2 linked regions of the Pelodiscus sinensis genome follow. The protein of the gene in region 1 interacts with the protein of each later gene in a biochemical or structural test. Links are inferred from orthologs where the notes say so. Each region holds a gene or a part of one and is shown on either strand. Other genes may lie near its edges.

The links. The genes of interacting proteins can lie anywhere in the genome.
Region 2: the proteins of NHLRC1 (region 1) and EPM2A form a complex in vitro, tested with the Homo sapiens proteins (3 studies listed by BioGRID, with this or other methods). The link is inferred for Pelodiscus sinensis from reciprocal best matches to the Homo sapiens genes NHLRC1 and EPM2A.

What each region holds. Positions count from the first base shown.
Region 1 is NC_134712.1:105,713,185-105,720,965, forward strand, and holds the start of NHLRC1 (E3 ubiquitin-protein ligase NHLRC1), read left to right. Parts: upstream 1-4,769; 5' UTR 4,770-7,663; coding exon 7,664-7,781. Other genes in the region: TPMT (thiopurine S-methyltransferase), read left to right, coding at 856-941, 2,782-2,826, 4,239-4,360. UniProt on the Homo sapiens protein: E3 ubiquitin-protein ligase. Together with the phosphatase EPM2A/laforin, appears to be involved in the clearance of toxic polyglucosan and protein aggregates via multiple pathways.
Region 2 is NC_134713.1:103,253,880-103,261,210, forward strand, and holds the start of EPM2A (laforin), read right to left. Parts: upstream 3,020-7,331; 5' UTR 2,961-3,019; coding exon 2,699-2,960; intron 2,449-2,698; exon of another isoform or gene 2,271-2,448; intron 1-2,270. UniProt on the Homo sapiens protein: Plays an important role in preventing glycogen hyperphosphorylation and the formation of insoluble aggregates, via its activity as glycogen phosphatase, and by promoting the ubiquitination of proteins involved in glycogen metabolism via its interaction with the E3 ubiquitin ligase NHLRC1/malin.

The DNA.
Region 1 (7,781 bases):
TAGTGTTTTGTTCAGAATTACAAATATTTTAGATTTACAAACAACCATCATTCCTGAGGAGTTTGTTCATAACTCTGAGGTTCTACAGTACATTACTTATTAGAGCCCTGTGCTGATACAAAATGTGTATCCACATCAGTATTTGCAAAAATGAGCTGCGGATATCCTCATCCATACCTGTGGATGCAGCTATCCATGGATATCTGTGGATTTACAGGGCTTTATTTATTAAGTTCTATACCAGCAGTAGCAAACCTACTGTTCCCATCTAGTGGTAGATCTGGAAAATGCTTCTCATGTTTTTGTTTGTTTGGGTCTCCACTGTTTTCACCATTTTCACCTCACTCCATCCTGTTTATTCTCCTCTTTTCCCCTTTATTTCCCTCCTCCAGTCTTACCCAGGAATATCTCTCTTCACCTTACCTGCTACTGGATATTAACTTAAGTTGAATACATGGTCCTGACTTTGTAGAAAATGCAGTGAATTAACAAAATCAATACCATATAGGCAACTTTACAGTAGCTATAGACTACTGCAGACTTAAATACTGTCAGCTTTCATTTTCTTGTTTTTGTTAGTTCACATAAAAATTGTTGTGTTTGTGCATGTGCACGTGTTGAAAGTAGAAATGTATTAATTTTATTTAGGATTTCATATGTTGTGTGTATACCACAAAGGATTTTACTCTAGAACCTCCTCAGTTAAATTAGTCTATATGCATTTTAAGGGAATGTTTGTACTGTTCTGTGCAGGAATACATTGTGTAACTTTTTTGCTGAACATTTTGAGTACTCTATGTACCAAATCTTTACAAAACAATCACAAATGCAAATATTTATTTTTTTTCTTTTTAGCTATGCCAATTTGATGTTGTCTCTAATGGAAAGAAGCTGTTGTTATCTCATGGTTACTGTTCTGTATGATGCAAATAAACATAAAGGTCAGAACTTTTAATCATTTTCTTTAGAAGTAATATCACTTTTATATATTTTTATATACACCACACATAGTAGGGGGCAGTGCCTGCTGCTGACTGCAGTTGCCAACACCACTGTCTGTGGGGGTAAGCAAGCCAGGCTCTCCCCCCAGGGGCTGTGCCAGCCCTGGCCTCTTCGGCCCCTCCAACAGCCAGGGAGGGGAAGGCCAGGGGCCATGCCAGCCCCAGCTGCTGGGGAGAGTCCAGGGCCATGCCAGCCCCAGCCTCTCACTTCCCTCAGCCACAGCCCTGGCCTCTCGCCTTCTCCCTCCCCCCCCCCCCCCATCCTCCTCACCAACCTCCCCCCAGCCACAACCAACCCCGGACTCCCTCCCCCCCCCCCCCCCCAGGCTGCTGGAGGAGGGCCAGGGCTGAGCCGGAGGGACGGGGGCAGCAGCAGTGGCTCCTTGCTGCTCTGGGGTTCCTGACGCTCAGCGGGGAACTACTACTTCTGGCTGCTCGGGCAAGGCATGCTGGGGATGTTGCATGCCTGGAGCTCCAGCTGAGACCCACCTCTCCCCGTAAAATTAGTGCACCAGCGTCGGCTTCCTGCAGGGAAGAGAGGCCCAAGGCTCCGTACCGGAGGCAGCTTGCAGAGAAGCGCACACGCTGCTATGAAGAAGGGGGCCTCTGGCGTGGAGCCTCGGGGTTTTCTCCTCTCCCCACTCCCCCACAGGAAGCTGGCACTGGTGTACTAATCTTGCAGGGGGAGGGGGCAAGAAGTTCCCAGCTGGAGCTCCAGAAAAGCGGTGGCCCCAGTGCTCCTGGCCCGAGCTGCCGGAAGCAGTGGTTCCCTGCTGGGTCCTGGAGCATTGGGGTCCCCAGTGCAGCAAGGAGCCATTGCTGCCATCCACTGATCCTCCTTCAGGGGAGCCGGGGGCTACAAGGGGTGGGAAGAACAGTCCTGAGCCATGGCTGCCTCTTTCCCTTCTGGGAACTCTGTTGAGCCTGGGGGGGGGAGAGGGCAGCGTAGAGTAACGTGATATCACTTTGTCACCCTGCAGGAAAAACTTTTTTCAATATGTATATGGTAAAATTTTGCCTCAGTTGTTTGTGTCAACAAATTTGGTGTCCAGATTTTGTATGTGTTTCTGTTTATTTTTAACATTCATGGTAGTAAAAGTTTATGATGTTTTGTTTGTTTGTTTGAAAATTCTTTATAACCCTGTTTCCACTTGCTTCTCAGCTTTGGAATAAAATTCCTAAAAGGCAGAAATTTTTCATGCTTGATCTCAATGCTAAAAAGGGCAGGGGGGAAGGAAGATGGGAATTGTGAAACAAAATGAAAAACAATGTTGCCTTCACTATTTTTTATAAAGTGTGTCCTGTTTACCCCTTTTGTTGCCACCCCTCCCTTACTCTAGCTTTGCTCCCTCATTTGCACCCTCATTATCTGAAAATCATATTATATTTATGATGGGCACTAAGGCAGGATTTTCAGTACCTCATGACCTAAAATCAGGCATGGCTTCCTCCAGGTGGTATAATCATTCATTAATGAATGTTTGCAAAATGCTTTGAAGATGAAAAGCTTTATATACATGTTAAGTATTATATCGGGCTGATGAATTATTTTTATTAAGCCCAGATGTGCCTTCAGTTTTCCTTGATAATTATTAACTTAATACAAACAGGTTTTCCACTGCTTATTGAACAGCTCTTGAAAAACATTGTAAAATAACCTATAATAATTCATTTTTATAAGAGAAAATGTTAAAATATATTTGGCCAGTGTTTGCTTCATTATAATATTAGAAGAGTCATTATGACTTTTGCTGATTCAACTTTCCCTTTTTCTCCCCAGGTCCACCATTTTATGTTCCTGATACTGAAATTAAAAGTTTATTTGGTAGGTTAACTCCACTGCAGTTATGATTTTTCCAAAACGTCGCAAACAAATGTGTTGATATTCTAGTATTTTGACTTGTTCTGAAGCAATTGAGAAGAAAGCCTATAAGGATGTTTGCTTCATGTACAAAATCTGGGGAGACATACAGTGTGAAAATAAATACCTTTTCACTCCAAGATTATTGATATGCACAACAAACATCACTTCCCTGAAAGATATATAGGCTCATTGTTTAAATACACACTGTAAAGGAAATATGAACCTGTGCTACCAATAAGACATGTACAGTCCCTATGGCCCAAGGTTACTTTCCATGCGGAGTCTTCAATAATAGGGATGTGGACGACTAGTCGACAAGCAAATGCTTATCGGCTAGTCTACTTGAGTAGTCACTTCCCTTCCTCCTCTTGTTGCCTCTGTCAGAAAGAGGCAGCAAGTGGTGGGGGAAGAGGAGGTGGTACTCAGTGGCAGTGTCCCCAGGCTGCATGCAGCATTTCAAAGCGGCAGTGCCACACTGACGCTGGGCACCCTGCAACGTTTCTAAGCGTCAGCGCCACACAGAGCCCAGGGTCAGCGGGGAAATCGCCAGCTGATCCCGGGCTCCCCGTGGCACTGCCGCTTTGAAATACTGTGGGGAACATGGGGCCAGCAGGGGACTGTCCTGCCAGTCCGTGCTCCCCACAGTGCTTTCGCCTTTGAAATATAGCAACAGCCCTGCACTGTTCCAAAGGTGGAGGTGCCCTATTGACTAATCCAATAGTGGATACAAATTATATCAACTATTCAATTAGTCAATTACTCAAAATGTAACATCCCTATCCCATAATTCAACCTATATCCCTATGTTCATTTATCCCATAGCTTATCACTGCTGGCCCTATAATAATTTTCTCATGTCCTTTCTGATCTGACATTTTGGTTGGTCCCCCCTCCTATGCCCCCAAGCCTTATTGTTTGTTCATTTAACACAAGTACCTTGCCCCATTATCTGTGTGTTTTCTGCTATAATTCTGAGACCAAAGTTAACTTGCAAAAAAAAAAGTATGATGATAGTAAACCACCATGTTAAGGGAATTAAAGATCGAAAGTAAAACTACTGAAACAACAAAATTGAGTTAAGATTGACATTTCATCCTTGAGATGCCTTAAATTAAACTTTGGTTCACAGTTCCTGTAGTTTACTCCCGTCTCAAACCTCTGAAGGATCTAAACAGCATGAATTATTCTTAATTAACAGTGGCATACAATTGTGAAAGAGGGCTAAATGCTGGTTACCTTATTTATGCTGGTCTACAAATGAGTTAGATCAGAAAGATTTGTTCTAAGAGCATAAAAAGTTCACGATTGAAAAAGCAAAAACAAATTATTGTAATCTTTTATCATATCTGTACATTGCTAATCTTCTTTTTCAGGAAAATTCTGTGAAATCAAGGATCTTGAGAAGGTTGATGACTTCTCGGACAAGCACAGGGCCTGGGGACTAGATTATTTCCTGGAAGTAATATATTTGCTTACTTTAAAGTCTGTTCCTTGATGAAACAATGAACAAAAAATGTATTAAGATGGAAAGAATTATATTGATCACACTTTCTTTGACATGAGCTGGATATTTGGAATTCTGAAATGCCTCAGGGTATGAAAAGTGGGTTCTGGGACATCTTTGTCTTTTGAAGACTTCATGCATTCAAAGACAATTAACTATACATCTGATTTGATTTGCGTAATCTGCATTGTAAGATTTGTAGCATTGAAATTATTTTAATAATCATTGTAACATTGTACCTCTGTCTCCTGTATTATTTCAAATAATTAAAATAAAAAATAATGTATATAAAAAGAAATTGCAGTTTTCCATACCAACCAATATTGCCTGTCTGCCTGGAGCTTTGTAGTCTCGTATCAGGTACTCACAGTCCCAAACTGTGTCCTGGAAACTATGCTGTTACAAGCTGCAGGATGGAAAGTTTTTATGTTTTGGGATTCTGGAGTCCTGCCACTACTGGCTGCTGGGTAGAAGAGACAAGAGTCTATTTGGTGGCTGTCTTTTTCTCCCTATCTCTCTTGCTCTGTGCTATGTGGATTGGAGACTGGCTGGCAGAGAGCAAAGCAAAATAATCAACAGCAACCATGACTGGATGAGGGATCAGCTATAGATGTACAAGATGAATAAAGAAAGTGAATAGAAAGGGGAGCAGAACACACTGGGAGTAGATGATCTCTGAAGTTTTCCATGACTATGATATTCTTCCCCCTCAATACAGCAATTATGAGTACAGGAATCTCGCCATAGGAGGAAGAATTGTATGGGGAATGTGGCTTGTCGGCCGTAAGGGAGACCTTTCTGCAGTTTGAATAAGCATATGAGCTTTCGGATATTTATCGGAACTCAAACCCTTTAGGGGTTCTCCCATTGCTAGTTGACAGATACTACTACAACTTTGCAAAATGGAGGTTTTGTTTTGAGTCCCTAATAATAGATCCATTTTTTAAATATCTAAAATTTACCAGGATGCAGACCAGTGTTCCCTGTAGGCTGTTTGCTTGTGCAGCCACTCAGGAGAGATTCAAATGTCATCTAGTTGATTAGCAGACTGCCCACAGCTAGACTTTTCATTTATATTGATGGTGCACATTCACATATGCCTTGGTGCACATAAAAATTATTCCACACATGAATGGAAAAGATTAGAAGGACCATTGATGCTGACACATTCTACTATTGGTTTGCAGACCCCTTTTCTTCTCCTTCTCCTATTCCCTTATACAGAGAAGTGCTTCTGAAACCAAAGCTGATTTACAGTATCGCAACATGATATTTAAAGGGTGTGATGGTTAAAGCAGTGATCAGGAGCCACGCTCAAGCAACTTCAAAGCCCTTTTCCCTTTCAAGTTTCTTTTGGGGTTTTGGTAAGTCTTTGTGTGGTGAAGGCTTGTCAGATGGTTTCTTCTTACCTACACCATAACATCAATCAGCTCCTGAGACACAGCAGTTTTCTTCGTGTGAGCAACACTCCTTTTTATGCTTGCTTCCTCCAGCTGGTAGTATATCTGGTAGGGATAGAACCCGGAATTGTTTATTAACCTTGTAATTGGCCCTTCACACAGTGGTTAAAAACAGAAGAGAAGTAGAAGCAATGTCTTATATTAAGTATATGTCTCTTGCTCCCTCCATTTCTCTTTACGGCAAGCATTGGATATTCCTTGCAATCATTGTATTGAAAGAATTGGCAGGTCTGATGTGTCCAGCATATTTGTAGTTGTAGTGAGTGATCATTTTATAGTTTAAACGAAGGGTGTGGTGTGGGTGTTGGGTGGTGGTTGGTTTTTTTTTTTTTAAACCCTTGAAGTTGGATAGAGAGAAAAGCAGAAAACCCCTACTGGCTGACTATATAAATACGGCTCTCCCAGCATCCCAATCAGTTTGTTCCTTTGCTTACATCGGAATCTATCTTCTCAGAAAGATAAGCCAACTACAGAGGATGAACAATGTACTTACAAGAAAAATAAACAACAAGGATAAAGAGAAAAGCAATTCTTACACAGCAACATCCAAGCACTGAGATGAGGTAGTGTGATATGTACAGAAAAGAAGCTGAAAGACGTTCTTTTTCTTCTCTAATGATACCAGCATTGTGAAATCCTCACTCCTGGGCTTTGAGATAATGGATATTCAAAAATTAAAGTAAGTAAAACTGAAGTGCGCAACAATATTAAGACCAAGGCCAACACTGTGAATGGGAAGATTTTAAATATAAATACAATGAGTAAGATACTAACATTCAAGTTTGCCAAAAAAGACAGTAATGAGAGAGAAAATCAATACATTAGACCATCAGTTTTTGCAAGACACATCCCCAAATTAAAATCAACACTTAGTGCATGAGGGAAATTTGATCCCACCTACTTTGGAAACAAGTTTTGGAACACAATGAGTTTGAAACAGCATTCCCAGGAGCCCGAATGCAAGCATTAATACTTTAGTAAAGGTACACAGAGGGCATCATGTAGCCATTTCTTTTACATCATTCACATACATCTGTGATAGGATGTCTGATTTCAGGGATGTTTCTATTAGACATAATCTTCTTGATCATAACATAGTTGAGTAAACTGTTAAAAGGAACAGTTAAAAGGACTTAGTCTACTTCCAGCAGAACCCCAAGGAACTTTTAGCTGTGACCATATGGAGAAGGGCCTCCTGGGATGGGCAAGATGGGTGTGGGAAGAATGCTAACAACAAGAGGTCAGAACAGGAAGTCTTTGTTCCTGAAATTCCCAGCATCTTGCTAGTAGCAGGATAAAAGATGGAAGAAAACAGTGGCCTGAACTGCTTCTCTAACAGATTAAATTCCTGCTCTTGACTGGATTCCTGAAAATGATGAACCCTGTTCATTTATTGCATCCTGAATAATTACCATATAAATTGTCCATTACTCCTCCTGCTCCGTTACTCCTGCTTCTATGAATTATTGGACTTTTATCACATATTGATTCTTGAAAACTGATGTGGACTATGAAACCATGCTTAAATTACTCTTGTTTAAATGATATGAGACTGGGATTTATAGCTTACAGTTCAGATATATTTTCATGCCAAATGAAATTTAAAAAAAAAATTGAAGAAAAAGGGAAGATAATAAAGTAATTCCCATTCATTTTGGTGAGCCCATTGCATTTTCCCAACTTTCCTTTAGATGGCAGGAGATTACAACCAATGCTTTTATGTATTTATGGAAAGGTCTCTGATGTAATGCAGTCCTGTGACTGTCCAATGTGACCAGATTTCAGCGTCACATTGCTAGCATAGTTTAATCAACAATCTTCTTAAACCTGCACTATGTCTGCCACGGCCTCTGATAAAATGCAGATTATGACAGAACTGGTGAGCGAAACTGAGGTCAGTCTTCTTGAATGCAAAGTGTGCTTTGAAAAATATACCCAGAAGAAGAAACATC
Region 2 (7,331 bases), on another chromosome or scaffold:
AAGACAACAACTAACTAAAATCCTAGAAAATCATCTGTGGATGCATAATTTAACTATTCTGTGTTTACAAGAAAAAAGTCCAAGGTACTATTCTAATACCTTCAAAAAGATGAGTACCAAAACCCATCCACTCGAAAAAGAAAACACCTATTTTGCAAGCAATCAGATGGCTGATAAAGGCAGAAAGTCTTTACTACAGGGGTGGAGAACCTTTTCTGGGTCGCAGGCTGCTGACCCACAGAAAAATCAGGCAGGGTCCATACAAGCGAGAAGCAAAACAAAACAAAAAGCTCCCAAACCCTCACTGAGGCGGCCCTCGACCGAGGAGGAAAAAGTGACTCCCCACATTCCCCTGACACACTAGAGCCTGGAGTGGCCCAGGCTAGTACATTTTGTATGCTCCAGCCCCACAATGGGGCAGCAGGGGCACTGGACCACCATGCAGCTTCCAAATGCTGAGGGGAAGCCCTGAGTCTTGGGGGCGGGGGACCAGATCTGGGTAAGCTGAGGGCCACATTTGGCCCCCAGACTTTAGGTTCCTCACCCCTATTTTACTACTATAGCAGCACATATTTTCTGGATTCCTCACATATACCCAATAAAGACAGAATCCTTAAAGTTGACTGTAAAGTGAGTGATCTAATAGCAAAGAAAGTTCCAACTATATTTCTCTGGTCTCTCAACCAACCTCGGAGTTTGGCACAATATACAAGAGAAAAAATACCGTATATACTCGAGTATAAGTCGACCCGAATATAAGCCGAGGCACCTAATTTTACCCCAAAAAACTGGGGAAAAGTATTGACCCGAGTATAAGCCTAGGGTAGGAAATAAGGCAGCCTAGGGTAGGAAATGAGTCGGGGCGAAAGCTGCTCCGGTGCCCCTGGTCTGCTGGAGACCGTCTCCAGCAGACCAGGGGCACCGGGCGGGTTCCCGCGCTTCTGAGGCTTTGCCAGAGCAAAGCCTCAGAGGCGCGGGGAAGCGCCGCTGCTGCCGCTTCAATCTGGGTGCCTGTGGTCTGCTGGGGACCGTCCCCAGCAGACCACAGGCTCCCGGACTGAAGCCGCAGCCGCGGGGGGGGCGGGTCCCGCGCCTCTGCGGCTTTGCCCGCCTCAGTTCGAGATGCTGACTCGAGTATAAGCCGAGGGGGGCATTTTTCAGCACAAAAGCTGTGCTGAAAAACTCGGCTTATACTCGAGTATATACGGTACTGAAAATCTGCCTCTCTATTTTTCCTGACCAAAAAATCCCCAAAATCCTGAGGCTGCAATTTTATTCCAAAGAAAGCTAAGCTTTCTATATTTTGAGGGAGACTGTTACAATCCTGTTGGATAATATCAGAGCTACAGTGACAGTTTTGCACAATAGGACTCTTAAGTCTATATGAATACTGATTACAAGGAAAGAATTACAAGTTGAGAGATTTATCTGGATCAAATACTGCGCTTAGTGGTTTACTATATTACTATAATCCCATCTATTTATCAGTATCTGGTTTCTTCAGCTCTTCAAGAAAGAGACTGTCTGTTAAAAACTGAGCACATTTTGAATGCTACCACAAGACAAATAATAATTACAAAATGAAGCAATCCAATTAATTCATATGCCATTGTTATAATTAGGCCTTTCACTTGCTGTGTTAAGTAGCAAATTTTACACAGTAAACACATAATAAAGCTCTTAATGCAAAGGTGGGGAACTCTTTTGGGTTGGGGACCACTGACCCACAGAAAAATCAGCCAGGGGCCACACACAACTGAGAAACAACCCCTCCCCCCCCACAAACACTCACAGATGTGGCCCCTGACTGAGGAGGAGAAAAGCTTCAGAGGTAGCCGGATCTGTAACTGGAAAAACTTAAAAAACAACAAATAGTCTTGCAGCACCTTAAAGAGGAACAAAACATATAGATGGTATCATGAGCTTTGGTGGGTACAACTGACTACTTCAGATGAATGGAGTTATTAAAAGTAACTGGACTTATTAAAAGCTGGGGGCGGGGAACTGAACTCCCTTTGGGGGCCGGATCCAGGCAGCCCAGGCCTTAGGTTCCCCACCGTGTCTTAATGGGTTGATTTCTCTTGGCCTTTGTAACGGCCATACACCAAACACTTCACGGTGCATAGCTGAAGGTGTTTTTTCCATTCGACAACTACATTATACATCCCTTTCTTGGCATCTTCCACTCAGGGTATAATCCAACAAAGGAATTTAAACTTTATTGCCGAAAGGCTTGTTCACACATGCAAATAAACATCCGAGACACGCACCAATGACGTGATAACATTTCCAAAGCGTGGGTGCCCACCTCGCGGTACTTCTCCCCCCCGTGCTCCTTGATACTAGACACTCGGGCTCCCCTGCACTACAGCGGCACAGCCGGGGGGCCCTACCCTACTGTAGAGCCGAGGCTTCCTCTCTGGAGGGAAGGGGTTTCTCCGCAGCGCCGGTTAGTTAGGGCTGTTCGAAAGCGGATAATTGGGGAACTAGACGGGGGCGCTCAGAGCCCGCAGCCGGGACACCGTCCAGAAAAACCCCTCGTGCGGGGGGGGGGGGGGGGGGGGGCAAGCTCCCTACAAGCGAGACGCAACGGGAGTCCCGCGGCAGCAGCTGCTCTCCGCGCGGCCCGGCCTGGCTGCGCCCCCGCCCCGCAGAGGCCGAGCAGCAGCCCGGGGCGGGGGGAGGTCCCCGGCGCTACCTTCCCAGACGGTGTCGGCGCCGCGCCGCCGCAGGAACTTGAACCAGAAGGTGCCCGCGGCCTCCTCGTCCGGCAGCGCCGCCTCCGCCAGCCACAGCGCGGGCTCCTGGGCGGGGAGCGGGGCCGCCGGGCGCGCGGGCTTCATGGGCAGCGCGCGCTGCGGGTCCCACTGGCCCAGCTCCGGCCGCGAGCCGGCCACCAGGAGCACCGCGCCCCCCGCGCTCAGCCCGGCCGGCAGCACCACCCCGAAGCGGAACAACATGGTAGCGCCCGGCCCGCTCCCGGCCGCGGGGAAGGTGAACGAGTCCTGCACCCCCCCCCCCCCCCCCCCCCCCCGGGAGACTTGTCACCTCCCCACCGCTAGAGGGACCCCACATGCCGCGCGCTTCTGGGATGTGACGTCACCTGGCGCACGGGTGTGAGGCACGAAAAGCGGGCGCGCCACTTGTTGGTGTGTAGGGTCTCACGCGCATGTGCGGGAAGAGGAGGGAGGGGGGGATTGAGCGCGTGCTGCTCCCGGGGAGCCGACGTGTCGGGCGCTGGGCACGCGGCTCGTTCGGGTCCTAGCGCAGCTTGTGAGTTTAGCTCGCGTGGAACTGTGGCTGCCGCCAGCTCAATTCTGCAGCAGCCCCGGAGCCTCCTCGGGGGGGGGGGCTTCTTGCGGCCAGGGGACCCCTCGCTCGCGCCGGGAAAGTTCACCCCTGGAGTTGGCTGCAGTGGAAAAGTTAGCAGTAGAAGGGGCCCCACTGTGCGCAGCAGGGACGACACGGGGCGCTGTTACCAATAATCGCTTGAGTTCTACTAGCAAACCAAACAGAAGTCTAGTAAAGGGGAGAGAGAGGGACACAGAGCCCGTAAAATTTGCATTACTTGCACTCGCGCTATTTATATCTCCTGGAAAATGCCCCGGTGTGTTGGTCATCATTCTCACTGTTGTCATCAGCTTTTCTAATGTGTGTGTTAGGCTAATGCCTCCTAGTGGTTTATATATAGGGAGATTTTTACTACTTGAAGCTATGCACCCCACTTCTTTGGGGTGCCCCATTTACATTTGTGTCTTTGTCATAGAAACAGGCTAGCACAATGGTGAGTAATCTGCATCCCATTGGGGTTCTATTTGTAGCCTGAGGGACATTTTGTTTACTGTTGCCTGCCCACCGGATTGCCAGAGTCAGCTGCTTTCTGTCTGTATAGTTTGTTTCCTACTTGTGTTAAAGTACATGCACATACAGTAAGGCTACGTCTAAACTGGCATGATTTTTCACAAATGCTTTTAACGGGAAAGTTTTTCATTAAAAGCATTTGCGGAAAAGGGCATCTAGATTGGCACGGATGCTTTTCCACAAAAGCACTTTTTGCGGAAAAGCGTCCGTGCCAATCTAGGTGCACTTTTGCGCAAAACAAATCTGAGCTGTCTACACTGGCCCTTTTGCACAAAAGCTTTGTGCAAAAGGGACTTTTGCCCAAACGGGAGCAGCATAGTATTTCCGCAAGAAACACTGATTTCATACAGTAGGAAGTCAGTGTTCTTGCAGATATTCAAGTGGCCAGTGTAGACAGCTGCCAAGTTTTTCCGCAAAAGCACTTGCTTTTGCGGAAAAACTTGCCAGTCTAGACGCAGCCGGCAGGTATATGAAGCGAGTTATGTGCTCAATGCGTGCAACTTTCTGGAAGCCATGTGCTCCCTCTACATCCATCCAAACAACACGCTGCTACAGTTTAATCAGCACCGCCCCCTCCCCCCGAATTCTAGGTACGAAGGCATGGGTAGAAAAACTACCCTATTCATGGAAACCATCTTGGTTACAACAATCTTGCATTCCAGTGAGATGGAGGGGCACTTGTGGCCCGCTCACTAGCTGCCTATATTGCCCATCACTGATCCACACTGAATAGTTTACACTACAGTTTAAGCCCCCAATCTTGCAAACATCTTCTCACAGGTAGAAGTGTTTGCAGGATTGATATCGGTGAAGAATGTTAGCTAATGTGTTCAGTAGTGTCATTTTATGTATGGGATTGTAGGCAAAGTGAAACCTGTGGATGGACACGAGACAGGTAATATCCATAGGCGTGCGCAGCACATTTCATTAGGGTGTGCACCCAAAGAATTTTTTAAAAATGTACTTTACCCCCATTAGCCCTGACCCTGTTAGCCACGCTCCTGACCCCCAGTGGCCACACCTCTGGAGGCAACACTTTCTGGGCAAGATGGACACATGACCAAAAGGTGTCATGTGACCCCCCCCCCGGACTTTTCCCACTATCCTCCTACCAATATGGATTAGTTTGCCCCCCCCAAAACTCCCCTCATGCAACTATCCTGCAGTTGCATTACCCCAATGTGTAAGACATTAACTCAGGGTGGAGAGGCTGGGGGAAGTGTTCCCTCTAAGTTTCCTCCGATGAGCAGAATGAATTTTGAGTTGTGCATGTAGCTTGTTTGGATGTGTCACTCTGGCACCCAAGTTATTAATAAATATCTCATAAATCTCTACCTTTACCCTCTGTTGCCATGTCTCCTCCCCTTGCTCCATCAGCTCCCCTGGTGCCTGCTGCCCCCCAACCTTTCGCCCTCCTCTGCTGTCCTGACTTTTGCCCTTCTCACTGCCCTCAGCCTTCCTGAGACCTGCCCCCCTCCACCAGCCCTTCTCCCCCCCACCGTGCCTACTCCTCCAGTAGCCCCACTCTGATCATGTGAGCTACCCTTCCTCATCCCCTCTCGTAACACCTCCCTCTACACACCTGCCCTGCCTCTCTTCTCTGGTGCTGGTACCTCCCCTGCAGGTGTCTGCCCTTCTGCTTCACCCCCAGAATCGCCTGGCACCTGTACCTTCCATTACCCCTGCACCCTCCTGGTGTCCCCCTTCCCTCAGTGCCCCTGCCCCCTTTTTTCCTGATGCCCACCCCCTCACTACCCTCTGCCCCCATTCCCTTCATGCTCCTGTGCCCTCACACATGCCTTGCTCCATCCCTGCCTTCCTCATTCCCACCCCTTCTTTCAAGCCTTCTCCCAGCACCTCCCCTTCTCCTCTCTAGCCCCCAAAACCCTTACCCTCTCCTCTCCCGGCATCACCCTGTCCCCCCTCCCACTGACACCTCCCCTCCTGCCCTTTTCCTCATTGTCTCCACTTGGCCCTCTGGCATTTGCCTCTCCTCTACCCTGTCCCTTAGTGTTTTCCCCTTTCTTCTCCTGATCTTCCCCCTCCCTTCAGCACAATCCCCTTCCTCTCCCACCCCTTCCTCTTATTTTTCCCCCTCCTCTCCCCTTCCCTTCCTTCCCTTCGGCTTCTGCCTCCAATTCGCAGGGCTGGAGTCAGAGCTGGCCCAAGCTACAGGCCGACCAGGCCCTAGCTGGGGTGCCCCCAGGACGCCGCACGGTGCTGCCAGGCTGGGCAGGGGTGTCCCCGGGGCGCCTCGGGGGGACCGTGCGGTGCTGCTGGGCCGGGCAGGAGCATCCCCAGGGCGCTGCGTGGTGCTGCCGTGCGGGGAGGAGGGTGCCTCAAGGGGTGGCCGCACGGTGTCCCCAGGGCACCTGAGGGGGCGCCGCGCAGTACTGCCAGGCTGAGGGGAAGGTGCCTCGGGGGGCCACACGGTGCTGCCGGGCCGGACGGGGCGCCCCCGGGTGCATAAGGGGCGGTGTTGCGGGGCCCGGAGCGCAAAAATGGCTCGGGCCAACCAACATTTGTAGTAGGGCCTCAGCTGCTTCTGGAGCTGGGCCACACAGTTTGAAAGTCCCGGGCCGTGATGTCACGTCACAGCCAGGCGTCTCCCCTCTCACCTGTTCCGCGGCATTTCAGCACGCCGCGCATGCGCACTCTGCCCCACAGTGCCCCGTAGATGGCCGTGGGGAATTTAAAGTGAGGGTTTGTGGCGCTCCGTCACAAATTCCTCTCCTCCTCCGGCAGTCACTAGCTGGCCCAAGACATTAGGGTGTGCCTAGGCACACCCGGCACACCCTGTACGCATGCCTATGGTAATATCTGAGGACACAGTAAATGCATTTTCGATTGCTAGATGGAATGTTCAGTTGAATTGCAGCAGGTGGGTAAGAGCCTTTGTAAGAGCATTAAGACTTGCCGGCTGAAAGCTTGATTACTGGGACCTAGCTGACACTGCCAGGAAGGGGCTCTAATTGGTTCATTCATAGTTTTACTTGCAGTTAATAAAGCCACAAATCATTAAATGGGTCAAGATTGGAGCTGTGGTGACTTAAGTTTTCCTGCAGTGGCTTTGAAAAGTACCTAACATCTGTATCAGACAGCACCTGGTCCTGGGGACATGGTCCTTCGTCTAAGAGAGCAGAGTGAGCAATGAGGTAAAATTGCCAAGCGTGCAACCCAATGGTTGCACAAATTATCTGAGCCCAGGGCATAGGAAACCCAGGATCATTAGATGGCCTAAATGGACATCACTGAGTAAAGTTGGGGAAAAGAAGGTAAGTTAGCAGAGGTGTCTAGGGATGATCCCCCATCTGGGACTGCCCCAGGCCCCTCAGCTGCCATTTTGGGAGCTGGGGGAAGCTGCAGCCACACTTACCTGGTCAGTGTGGGTTTTTCCCCCTGTTCGCTGTTACTAGGAAGTGAGGAAAAAGTGCAGAGCCTGCTGTGTCCTCTTGCTCTGGCTGCCCCAG